2 linked regions of the Caenorhabditis elegans genome follow. The protein of the gene in region 1 interacts with the protein of each later gene in a pairwise test. Each region holds a gene or a part of one and is shown on either strand. Other genes may lie near its edges.

The links.
Region 2: the proteins of cpf-2 (region 1) and ubql-1 interact in a two-hybrid assay, tested with the Caenorhabditis elegans proteins (one large-scale study listed by BioGRID).

Annotation. Positions count from the first base shown.
Region 1 is NC_003281.10:13,266,170-13,270,539, reverse strand, and holds cpf-2 (RRM domain-containing protein), read left to right. Parts: upstream 1-1,656; 5' UTR 1,657-1,664; coding exon 1,665-1,728; intron 1,729-1,779; coding exon 1,780-1,835; intron 1,836-1,886; coding exon 1,887-2,008; intron 2,009-2,054; coding exon 2,055-2,199; intron 2,200-2,902; coding exon 2,903-3,526; 3' UTR 3,527-3,608; downstream 3,609-4,370. Other genes in the region: F56A8.5 (F-box domain-containing protein), read right to left, coding at 3,655-3,811, 3,861-4,370.
Region 2 is NC_003279.8:7,020,331-7,028,149, forward strand, and holds the start of ubql-1 (Ubiquilin), read left to right. Parts: upstream 1-1,651; coding exon 1,652-1,744; intron 1,745-1,866; coding exon 1,867-1,972; intron 1,973-2,017; coding exon 2,018-2,325; intron 2,326-2,433; coding exon 2,434-2,562; intron 2,563-3,126; coding exon 3,127-3,370; intron 3,371-3,696; coding exon 3,697-3,836; intron 3,837-3,881; coding exon 3,882-3,965; intron 3,966-4,011; coding exon 4,012-4,124; intron 4,125-4,171; coding exon 4,172-4,237; intron 4,238-4,281; coding exon 4,282-4,342; coding exon of another isoform or gene 4,343-4,363; exon of another isoform or gene 4,364-4,393; intron 4,394-7,819. Other genes in the region: pdi-3 (Protein disulfide-isomerase), read right to left, coding at 227-457. UniProt on the Caenorhabditis elegans protein: May play a role in the ER-associated protein degradation pathway (ERAD) possibly via its interaction with ER-localized proteins ubxn-4 and cdc-48.1 and/or cdc48.2, providing a link between the polyubiquitinated ERAD substrates and the proteasome.

The sequences.
Region 1 (4,370 bases):
TCTACCCCAGATATGGCCGAGCCAAAATGGCCTAGTTTGGCAAACTCTTCCATTTCAATTTATGAGGAAAGCCAGAAATCCGTGTGTCTTTTTAAAGGCGCACGGATTTTTTTAGATGGGTCTCGGAGCACAAACAAAAATTTATGGTAGTATTTTTTTTAATTTGAAAACTGAGTTAAAACTATTTTAATAGAATTTTTAAAAGAAAAATAAACAAGGACGGAGCCGCAAAAATTCAAAAAAACGAGAAACTTTTAACTATAAACTTTTCTACGCGCGCCGAGACCCATCTGAATAAGTCCGTGCACCTTTAAGAAGGCCTATCAAATTCTAGTGAAACTACTATATTACGGGAACACAAAATTCTGAGAATGCGTATTGCACAACATATTTGACGCGCAAAATATAACTATATCTCGTGAGCGAATTCTTTAAATGATTACTGTGGCGCTGGTGTCGATTTACGGGCTCGATCGATAGTTCGTAATATTTTGTCATTGTTATGTTTTCTTCTAATATTTTATCGATTAATAAGTGATTTCCGTAAATCGACACAAGGACTACAGTAGTCATTTAAAAATTACTGTAGTTTTCGCTTCGAGATATTTTGCGCGTCAAATATGGTGCGCAATACGCATTTTCAGAATTTTCCTTGCATTTTTGGAAGATTTGTTACGGTCTCCAAAACTCGAAGCTGGAAATTTCTTTAAAATTACTGCTTTGCGCCCAATAAGTTTAGTTTGGCAGTGGAGCGCTATTGAATTTCCATTTCGAAAAGAGCACTATTTTCAGTGTGTCGTCAAATCGAAGATCTCGAAGCGATTTATTGAAAATTCAACGGCTGGTCTAAAAAAGGGTTGGAAAACATGTGGAAGAATTATTTGATAAATTTTTTTAAATAGAAAATGTTTCGTTTCAATTAGTTCCAAATACTCCCAAAATAGAAAACTACCAAACATCAGGCATCAGGTATAACTAGTTTATGCGGTGTTTCGAAGTGGAAAAACTAGGCAAAAAATATTTTCAAACTAAAAAAATTATTTGAATTTTGTCATTTCAACTAAATAAAACAAAATAAAATATATACTCTGCATCTCTCGGGAACACTAACACCCCACGTCAACGCTGTTCCCATCAATCAAAATGCGCGAAATTGGCTCATAAATCAAACGGCGAAAAACTAAAAAAAAAAAAAACTGAAAATATTGGCGGAAATGTGAAAAATATAGTCGGAGAGACAAGCTGTTATTCATGAGAAGACATTTTTTTTCGAATTTTAAAGTTTTTCGTAAGAAAAATGAGTAGTACCCGATTTTTAAGAATGTGTAATAATAAAAATTATGCAGAAGATATCATTTTTTGACGAAATACGAAATCTTTGTCAATCAATATGTGTGTCAAACAAGAATCAATGTCAATTTCCGTCTTTTTCCGCGGAAATCGGTCATTTTCGGAGGGTCACTTTGCTTGTGCTGTGACGTCACAAAAAATGTGGGTGGAGCTAGAGGCAACGAATATGCAATGCGGGCGCGCAGTTTTCGCAAGTGTGCGGCACGCGATTTATTTTCGAATAGTTTTTTCTCTGTGCAGTTTCCAACTCCTTAAATGCTTTTATCGATTTATCGACGATTTAATTTATTCATTTTCAATTTCCAGGTTGAAAAATGATGTCCGGGGGATACAAATCATCCGGAGTGGGCAATGATCGATCTCAACGTTCAGTTTTCGGTAGGAAACTGTGAATTTTCGAAAAAAAAACGTAATTTTCGCATTTTTCAGTTGGAAACATTAGCTACGATGTATCCGAAGACACGATTCGCTCCATTTTTTCAAAGGTAATTATTATTTTATTCTTTCCAATTAAAATACTGAAAAAAAGTTTTCAGGCAGGAAATGTGTTGTCGATCAAAATGGTTCACGATCGGGAGACCGGAAAGCCAAAGGGATACGGATTTATTGAATTTCCAGACATTCAAACCGCCGAAGTTGCAATTCGAAACCTTAATGGGTATTAAATATTTGAAAAATAAATTATTTATTCAATAAATGTTCAGTTACGAGCTGAGTGGACGTATTTTGCGAGTCGACAGTGCTGCTGGTGGAATGAATATGGAAGAATTCGGCTCATCGAGTAATGCTCCAGCTCCTGTCGAAGAGAATCCGTATGGTCCAGAGTGTGATGCTGGAAAAGCACCGGAGGTAGCTAAAAATGAGCGAAATTGGCCTGAAATGTCTAAAAAATAACTGAAATTGGCCTGAAATGTCCAAAAATGACTGAAATTGGCCTGAAATGTCTAAAAATGACGAAAATTGGCCAGAAATGTTCAGGAATGACTGAAATTGGCCTGAAAATGACAGAAATTTCCCTGAAATATCCAAAAATGGCCAAAATTCGCCTGAAATGTCCAAAAATGACCGGAATTGGCCTGAAATGTCCAAAATTGACCGAAATTGGCCTGAAATGTTCAACAATGACTGAAATCGGCTCGAAAATGACTGCAATTGGCCTGAAAATGCCCAAAAATGCCCAAAAATGAATGAAAATGACCGAAATTCGCCAGAAATTTCCAAAATGACCTACACTGGTCATTTTTTGTAATTTTCGTACTTTTTTAAAACAATTTTTGGTTCTCTTCGACCAAATTTTAATCATTTTTATTATTTTTTGGCAAACTTCGCTCTTGTTTAGTCATTTTTAAGCTTATTTAGTCATTCTGAACGTATAGTCTCAAAATGAGCTCAATTGTAAGAATTTCGTAATGAATTGTCTCAAATTAAGCTTAAAAATGATGAAAAATAGTCGTATTTGCACAAAAATGAATAGAAAATGCTCAAAAATGACGAAATAGGGCCTAAATATGCATTATCGAGCTCATTTTCTTTCTCAAATCACAAATTTTAGAGAATCTCCCAAACAGTCGCCTCCCTGGCTCCGGAGAAAATGTTCGAACTAATGAAGCAACTGCAAGAATCGCTGAAGAACAATCCATCGGAACTACACAAATTCCTGGTCGAGCATCCACAAATCGCCTACGCGGTGCTCCAAGCCGCCGTTGTCATGCGAATCGTTGATCCACAGACTGCACTTGGACTCCTTCATCGTAATAAGGCCGCCACGCTGACACCATTCCATAATACACCTCAAGGAGCACCGCCAATGGTTCAGCAACAACAGATGCCGATGCCACCGAAGCCAACATTTGCTCATCCTGGCCCATCTATGGGTCCTCCGATGGGACCACCTATGGGTCCACCTATGGGACATCCGCAAGCTCCTCAATACGGTCAAAATTACGGGCAACCAGTGGCTCCACAGCAGTACAAGCCACCGCCACAGCAGCAGCCACCAGTTCAGATGAGACCTCCAGTTCAGCAGCCACAACAAAATCATCAAGAAGAGCAGCAAAATGCGGAGCTTCTGATGCAAGTCATGCAGCTCAGCGAGCACGATCTTCAGATGCTTCCTGCTGGGGATCGTGAGAAGATAATAGAGCTGAGACAGCAGTTGAAGAGAAATGTCAAGTAAATATGGATCTCGTCTCTCGAGTATTTGTGCTTTTAATTCTAATTTTTCCGTTTTGTAACTATCGATTTCATGAAGATCACATTTTTAAATTCAACATTTGGTTTATTGCAACAAAATTAAATGAAAATTCAATCTTCTTCCATCGGCTCTTGGTCGGAGAATCTTTTATGCCAAACCACCATCTCAACCTCGTTATCGTTAATGATCACAGAAGCGAGAAGACCATCGGCTCGTTCAAAATCCATCGCTTTCTCGCAGTTTAATGATTGGAATGGTTCTTCTTTTCTGAAACAGAATTTAATTTGCAACTTTCAGGAAACTTTTGAAAACTTACGGGAAAATTTTCTGCCGTTGTTCGTGGTTCCATGGTTTCACATCGAGACCTTCCAGAATTTGCCCTGGAACTCTTCCATCAATCTCTTTCGAATGAACAATCAAATTTTCCAATTTCGCATTTGATCCTCGGGTCCAATCTCTGAGAATAGTATTCACGTCTTGAACAGTGAAGTTTAAGCAATAAAGAGAAACACGATTTGCCTCCAATGCTCGAAAATGCTCCGCTCTGAACCATGAACAGCCACTGAGTTCAAGGTGTTCCAGATCTTTGAAGTTTTCCAAATTTCCATTCATCGTAGAGATTAGGTTCATCGAAATGCCCTCACATTGTTGTATAGCCGACCAATCGAAAAGATCAGCAGATCCTTCGAAATCAGGTCCCCAGATATGAACATTTGAAATCGGAAATCTTATCAATTCAGTCACCCATTCAGCCGCCTTCATCATCTCTTTCAATGGATTTTGGCATAATGCAGTTTTTCTATTCAATTTCCTGATTATAGTCCTA
Region 2 (7,819 bases), on another chromosome or scaffold:
ATACACAATAACCATTTTGGACCAGCATACATAATATATATGACGGACAAATGTTTCTATATGCATAAGGACTAGAACAATAAATTCAAAGAATCCTTTGTATGCATTTCATATATTTCTATTCAATGTGGCTTTCGTTGCTGTTTTATCAGCTTTCGCGTATTTGTCAGTGTCACTGCGATCGATATATGAGCGATGGCTGTGTAAATAAGTATGGTTATCTTACCTTGACGAGAGCGACTGGTGGATCGTTAGATGCGAGTTTTGGGGCAGCTCTCTCATACTCTGGGGCAATTTTCTTGCAGTGTCCGCACCAGGGAGCGTAGAACTTGACAAGAGCAATGTCGTGGGTTTGGATGAGATCATCGAAGTTTCCGTCGGTATACTCGAGAACGGCTCCTCCAGCACTGGCGAACGCCAGGAAGGAGGCGACCAAAGCTGCCTGGACCCAAATCATTACCTAAAAACTTTACCTATAAACGACAATCGATCGAGTGAGTTTAGAGGGCGAGAGATTATCGGGAACACCGACAAAAAGTTAAAAACTAAGAAACAAGATTAGAGGTTTTCAGATTATTCAGAAATATTTTCTAGAAATTGAGCGAACGATTGAAGAGAAGGGAAGGTGTTTTCGCAATTAACAAACCGCGATCGCATCGAAAACGTGAGCCGCTTGACGCGAAACGTGTTTTCGTGGCGAGATACCGCGAGCGGTAAAATCAATGCGCCTTTACTTTATTTATTTTTTTTTCGCATTTATTTTCATTCTTTTCTGTGAATCACATGTGAATGGACAAATACAGATTGTTTCGGGTTCAATTTTAAGTATTTACAAACACTTTTCAAAAATTATCTTTAATAAGTGGAAAATACAGTTAGTAAATAACTATAAATTTTAAGCTTAGAAGAAGAAAGCCAAAAAACATGTGTTGTATGGAGGAGAAATTTTATATAGACTCGGGGAGCGTTATATCACTTTTAATGATATTATTACTAATAATCCAGAAAATGCAGAGCAGAAGCATAAAAATAGACCCGAATTGTTAAGGTCCACGTGGCGCTCGTGTGTACACCAGGGATTGGTAGGAACTGAGCCAAAAACACGTCGTTCACTGCCTGTCGCACGCGTGTTGTGTGCCGATTGGCCTCATTCTTGTGAGAACTCCGCCCAATGGGTCTCGCACGGAAGAGGCGACCATCATGTGTCGATTTACGCAACTACCGCATCATTTTATTGATCATTGTTTTTTATTCATTTTATGACCTGATATAGAAGGAATCGACGTTAAATTGGAAGGCAAATTGATTGGAGCGCCATTTAGAACTTTAATTTCTTATTTTTATTGTAAATTTGAATCGATAAAAGGAACAAAAAGATCACCATGGAAACCAAATTAGTCATCACGTGCATATTGAAGCTCGCGCGTCAGGAAGAATTGTGTCTTCGTTTATCTTCGTTTATTTTCTATCGAAGAGACCCATTACATTATTACATTATTCGGTCTGAAATAGTTGCGAAATTTCTTTTTGCGCTTCGAGAATATTCTCGATTTATCGATGCAACGTGTTCTTTTCCGTCTCCGCCTCTCATTCTCTCAATCCTTTTTCTTTATTTAATTTTGTCGGTTTTTTAATATTTCTCAAATTTAAGATGGCTACAGAGAGTGCACTCATCAAAGTTCACGTGAAATCACCGTCGAACAAGTATGACGTTGAGATTGCTGCGGATGCATCAGTTTCAGAAGTATGTTATATTTTATTTAAAAAATAAAATTTTGCTCTTGAGAATTAGATAAAAATTCAAGTGATTATTCCATTTTGATAAATTAAATGTGTAAATCACAGTGTTTAATTAATATTTTACAGCTAAAAGACAAGGTTCTTGTGTTCGTTCCAACTGCGAACAAAGAACAAGTTTGTATAATTTACACCGGAAAAATTCTGAAGGATGAAGAAACTCTCACACAGCACAGTAAGTTGAAAAATGTGTTCCAAAAAATAATAAACAAAAATTTAGAAATCGCTGATGGTCACACCGTCCACTTGGTTATTAGAAATCAAGCCCGTCCAACACCAGCGCCGGCTGCTGCAACACCAACAGCTTCATCTGCACCAAGTTCCAATCCAACACCTTCTTCACAACCGAATCCTACCAATAATCCATTTGCAGCAATGGGAGGAATGGGATCACCTGCTGATATTTTAAACAATCCAGATGCTATGCGTTCAGTTATGGATAATCCAATTACACAACAACTTCTAGGAAATCCAGAGTTTATGAGAACAATTATTCAATCCAACCCACAATTCCAAGCATTGATTGAGGTTCGAGTTTTTCCTGGATATTTGTTTTGTAAATTTTCGGATTCGAAAAATTATTTAATTTTTTAATCTTCCACATTTCTCTCGTATATCGACAATAAATATTTTCAGAGAAATCCAGAAGTTGGACACATTCTCAACGATCCGAATGTAATGCGTCAAACTATGGAGATGATTCGTAATCCAAATATGTTCCAAGAAATGATGCGGAATCATGATCAAGCTATTAGGAATCTTCAGGTACATTATATATAGCTATGCTGATCAAGGGATGCCATTTTTCAATTTTTCAATGTTTTCAGCGAAAATCGAAACATCGAAGAAAAAAAGTCCAGAAAATTATCAATAAAATTTGATTTTTATCAAGTTGTGTGACACACAACTTGTGTCATATATGTTGGTGACAAAAAACATACGAAGACATTTTAATGTTATCTAACAATTGTCTAAAAAAAAGAAAAATTACCAAAATTTAATACCATTTTTTAAAAATTGAAAAAGTCGGTTTTTTCTCTCTAAAATCGAAAAACGAAAAATTCTGATTTTTCAGTTTTAGTTTTAAAAAATCGATCAAGGATGCCGATCTAAATGTCTAAATATGACTATTAAAAGTAATTAATTGTTATTTTAATTGATATGGCAAAAAATTGCTAATTTTTTTTTAATATCAGGGGTACATTTCTGGAAACTATATATTCCATCCCAGCCGCGCTACAGGGGTTTTTGTCTTGAATTCCAATTTCAACAGATTTTCCTTTTTTTCGGTTGGATTTGTTATTTTATGTTGAAACATTCAATTTTCAGGGAATTCCCGGAGGAGAAGCTGCTCTTGAACGGTTGTACAATGATGTACAGGAGCCCTTGCTCAATAGTGCAACAAATTCGCTCAGTGGAAATCCATTTGCTTCTCTAAGAGGTGATCAGAGCAGTGAGCCACGTGTCGATCGTGCTGGACAAGAAAATAATGAAGCTCTGCCAAATCCATGGGCTTCAAACGCCAATCAAGCTACCAATAATCAATCGAATAATCGTTCTGCTGACTTTAATTGTAAGTTTTTCTGAGTCAAATTTCTCTAAGTAAAAAAAAATCTTACATTAAAATCATATAATAATCAATGACGAGTGGCAAATGCCAAATATCAATTTGCCGAAAAAATTAAAAAATTGTAAATGTGAAAAAAGATTTTCAGCAATGTATTTTTGAACATTTTCCTTAAAAAATTTCCAACAAAAATTTCAAAACGACAAATTTCCAATTCGCCCAATTTTACGTCTGCCGCCCACCATTTATTATAATTTTAAACAAAATATTTAAACGTCACGAATATCCTCATAGTTTAGTGATCCGTTAATAATGTTTTAATTCATATTCAGCATTGCTTGATTCACCTGGCATCAGCTCCCTAATGGAGCAGATGATGTCCAATCCAAGTATGCAGGCCAGTATGTTCAGCCCAGAAGTCATCAATTCAATTCGTCAAAATATGTCAAACAATCCTGGACTCATTGATTCCGTTAGTTTCATTTTTAAAAAATTTAAAATAATTATGTAAGTTCAGATTGTTGGACAAATTCCATCGGCTCGTGATAACCCACAGATTTCCGAAGGAATTCGTAGAAGTTTTCCACAAATGCTCAACATGGTTTATTTTCTAAATTTTTACAAAAATTTATATTTCAAAATTTCAGATGTCTGATCCATCTGTGATGGAGGCAATGAGAAACCCACGGGTCAGTGAAGCATTCCGTCAAATTCAAGAGGGATTTTCAACTCTTCGCAGAGAAGCACCTCAACTTTTGAAGTATTTGAAAATACCATTTAGTCAAAAACTATTTAAAATTATTTTAGCCTTTTCCAAGCTGGAGCAATGGGAGGTGGAGCATTCGGTTCTGATGCCAATGCATCTTCTGCTGGGTTCGTTGATAGTTTTTATAGCTGATAGTTTTTTCTCATTTCAGAGCAAACTCTGCAAACGGACTTGCCGATTTATTCAATTCAATGAATATGGGAGGAGGAAGAGTGAGTATATTGAATATTTGATTTCTTATGTCACTTCTTATGGGAGCAGAGGTGATTATTTTCAAGTTCGGCCTTCTCGAATTGTCTAGAAAAAAAAATATTCAGAGTGAAATAACGAGATAATAAGATTTTATGAACTGAAAAAGAGAAAATTTCTATTTAAAAAGCTAAAAAAAAAGCATTACTACTGTAGAAATCAGTTTTTCTTATTTTTTATTCATTGCAAAATTTGAAAACTCGACAATAGCCTATTTTTGGATTGTGAATTTATCGAAGTGGTAAAATTTTTTTAATCGGCAATTGCCAAAACTTTCTATTGTCTGTATGATAGTTATTGAAACATCATGGGTTCAAAGAACTTTTTCAGCTAATTGAACTATTTTAAGCTTTCCTTTCTAATTCAATCGACAGATCGATTTAGAATAATATCACCGAATCCAATAATTTCCCATAGTATAGTTTTTTTTATACTTCCCTCTCGATTCCGTGGTCTTTTGAATTTTCCAAATTGAAATGAAAATTTGGATGATTAGTTGAAGCCTCACATCAAATGAAGTTCCCCCTTCATTTCATATATCAAAGTTTTTGCTCAAATTTAGAAGCTGATGAGTTGCGCCGAGTCGCCGTTTGCTCTGTGACAGCGACGGAAGTGCGCGAGCAAGAAAGAAGAAGTCATCGTGTGTCTGTTCTGAATAATGTAACAAGACGATGCTCCGTCTTCTGCTTCTTCTGTGCCGTCGTCGCTGAGCAGAAGCAAAAGTCGGCTCGTTTGACATGCTATGGATAAATGTTAGATAATGAGTATAAAGTGACGAAGACGATGGCAAACTGATGACAGCGTGCACGATCGAAAATCTTTTCCTGTTTGCTCAGAAAATGCAATTATCATATCGAATTTCATTTAGACCCCGGTGGCGTATCTAAAATTGTTTCGAAATTCTGATGTCTCGGCCCTTTCTACAGACAGAATATACTCTTAGAAAAGAGAAGTGTGGGAGATTTATCATGAGTTCCCCCAGTGAAAGAGGAAGGCCCCTCATTTCCTTGTCTTTTAATTTTTGATGATTGTTAGACGAAACAATTTGAATTGGAAACAAAAGCAATAATTTCTGCATTTTTCGTTTTCATCACTTGACATAGGAAGTGTGAAAGGCGGGCATCTTATCCATACGAATAGATCAGATTTTTTAATTTTCGTCGACGTTGCACTACTGGACCGAATGCTCTCGCATCACACAACACATTGTTGGCACATACATGTTATATGTCATTTTACATTTTCGATTAATTTTGTTCAATACCAAAACGTGGATGAGTGTGTGTATGTATGTGCATTGCCCACATAAAATGATATTAGTAGGCGCACATAAAAACGTTGATCGACAAAGGCTCGTCTCTTCACATAAATATTACACATTTCACAGCAAAAAAAACTATGTTCAATAATCAGATCTTTTTTGGGATGAGAGGGCAACACAAAAGCTGAAAGGAAACTTTCTTATCACAGAACCTTCAATTTTAGTAGATGTGATCTTCACTACATTAGGGGTTATTTGTACGCACAATGCCAAATTTTCGGAAAGTTGAGCTTTTTGTAAAGTTTAGAGCATTATTCCATGTTCGACACCCTAAAATGTTTTAATACAAAAAATTAAATTATAATACTTGAATAATTGCCTATTTTCGGTCGAATTCCAAAATTAAAATAGGTGGTATCTAGGTAGTTGCCAATTTCGACTGCAAATTAGGAAACTTGATTTTTCGAGAAGTTTTACTACGATATCTGATCTATATTTCTTTTTTCTTCGGCCCCTTTAATAAGCAAATCAGTGTTGCTCTTTTTGCTTCCCGCAATTGTTAGGAGCACATGTTTTGTGGCATATTTAGGATGCGCGACGACGTATTTGCACACACACACACACACACATTCCACGGATCGGATGTCACTATAATCTCATCTTGTAAGCGGTTACGCTGCTATCAAATTTATCCCGTATGTTTCAAGCAATTGGCCACAACATTTGTTCTCCCCCTTTTTGTTATAACTGCTGCTGCAGCTTTTGTCTCATTAGATGATTGTTTTGACGACATTTGCATAGATCATAGTAAACGATGTGTCTCCAGGAATATTGTGTAATGGAATAGTGCGCGAGGTTGGTGCGCATGATGAGAGCAGATAGGAAAAAGGACGGCGACGTTCCCCTTTTATTCATTCAACAATTGTCTAATCGGCGATTGTGTGGAACACGCGCCGTGCCATACACGTATTTCATTTCATAAAGAGGCAGCTGGCGAACATCTTCCGGTCTTCTCGTTTCCCGCCTTTTTTGTTAAGATGAGCCGATGCAAATGATATTCGAAGTGATTAGTAGTGGAGTCTATTAGGAGCCGACGTCCGAAACGATGGGATGATCTGTTCAGTGGCAAAACACTTAGTGTCTTTTGAATAGGCATTCGATTGGTTTTCTTGTTCTTACAATAGACAGATGGCTGGTTGCATGGGAAACAGTTCTTTCGAACACCTGTATCAAACCTGTGATATAGTTATTTTATAGTAGAACATCGCTTCTCTTGCTCAGATCATATTGAAACCTTGATTTTTGCATTAAGGATAAACAATAAATTCAAATATCTAAAATTGTTTCTCCTTTAAAGTAGTTCCCTTAAAATTACGATAGCTAAATCCGAAACATAGTCCAATCATTTCTTCTCATTAATTAGTATGTTGATGGAATTGTAGGGACATGTGTAGAGAGTGGAGGACACGTTGTATCACTTAATGCATGTTGTCGAACTCGTCAAAGTATGGTGTAATGCATAAATCGAATGAACGGAAAGATGCGGTAGTGCTGGTCACAATAGGAAGAAGAACAAGAGGGGTCCCATGCAAAAACACATATGACGCGTCGATTCGTCCAACTGCTCCTCTTCCTGTCTCTGTTATTATTGAGAACAACACACTCATAGATATAAATGCACAGATACTCGTTGTTCGCGCACTCATTTGTTTCGAAACATGACAAGCAAAATGCGTTTTTAGAAGATAAACATCGTAGCACTGACTCGTAATATGTAATGAACAATTAAGAAGCAGCTCTACGCATGCTATGTGCATTTCCCTCATGTTTTCAAAATTGCCTATTCTCAGAGGAAATGTTAATTTGTGTCTGTGTGGGTATGTATGTGCATCATTTCAATCAAGTGCTCCGCTCTCCTATAGACCATATTTTTTGTTTCTTGGGAATAGATTTTGGAATGATTGCCTTCCAAATACAAAGATGGATGGATTTGGAATTGAGCCTCTAGCACAACAATAATTGAGTTTTCAAAGTTTTCATGTGACCACTAAAGTTTTAAAAACGAAACCCAATACTTTTTTAGGAGATTCCCCAGAAGCTATAAATTAAAAGAAGTCTAAAATAATCTAAAATTCATATAATCAATTTTGACATTTTCTCAATTACTGTAAGACTCCTA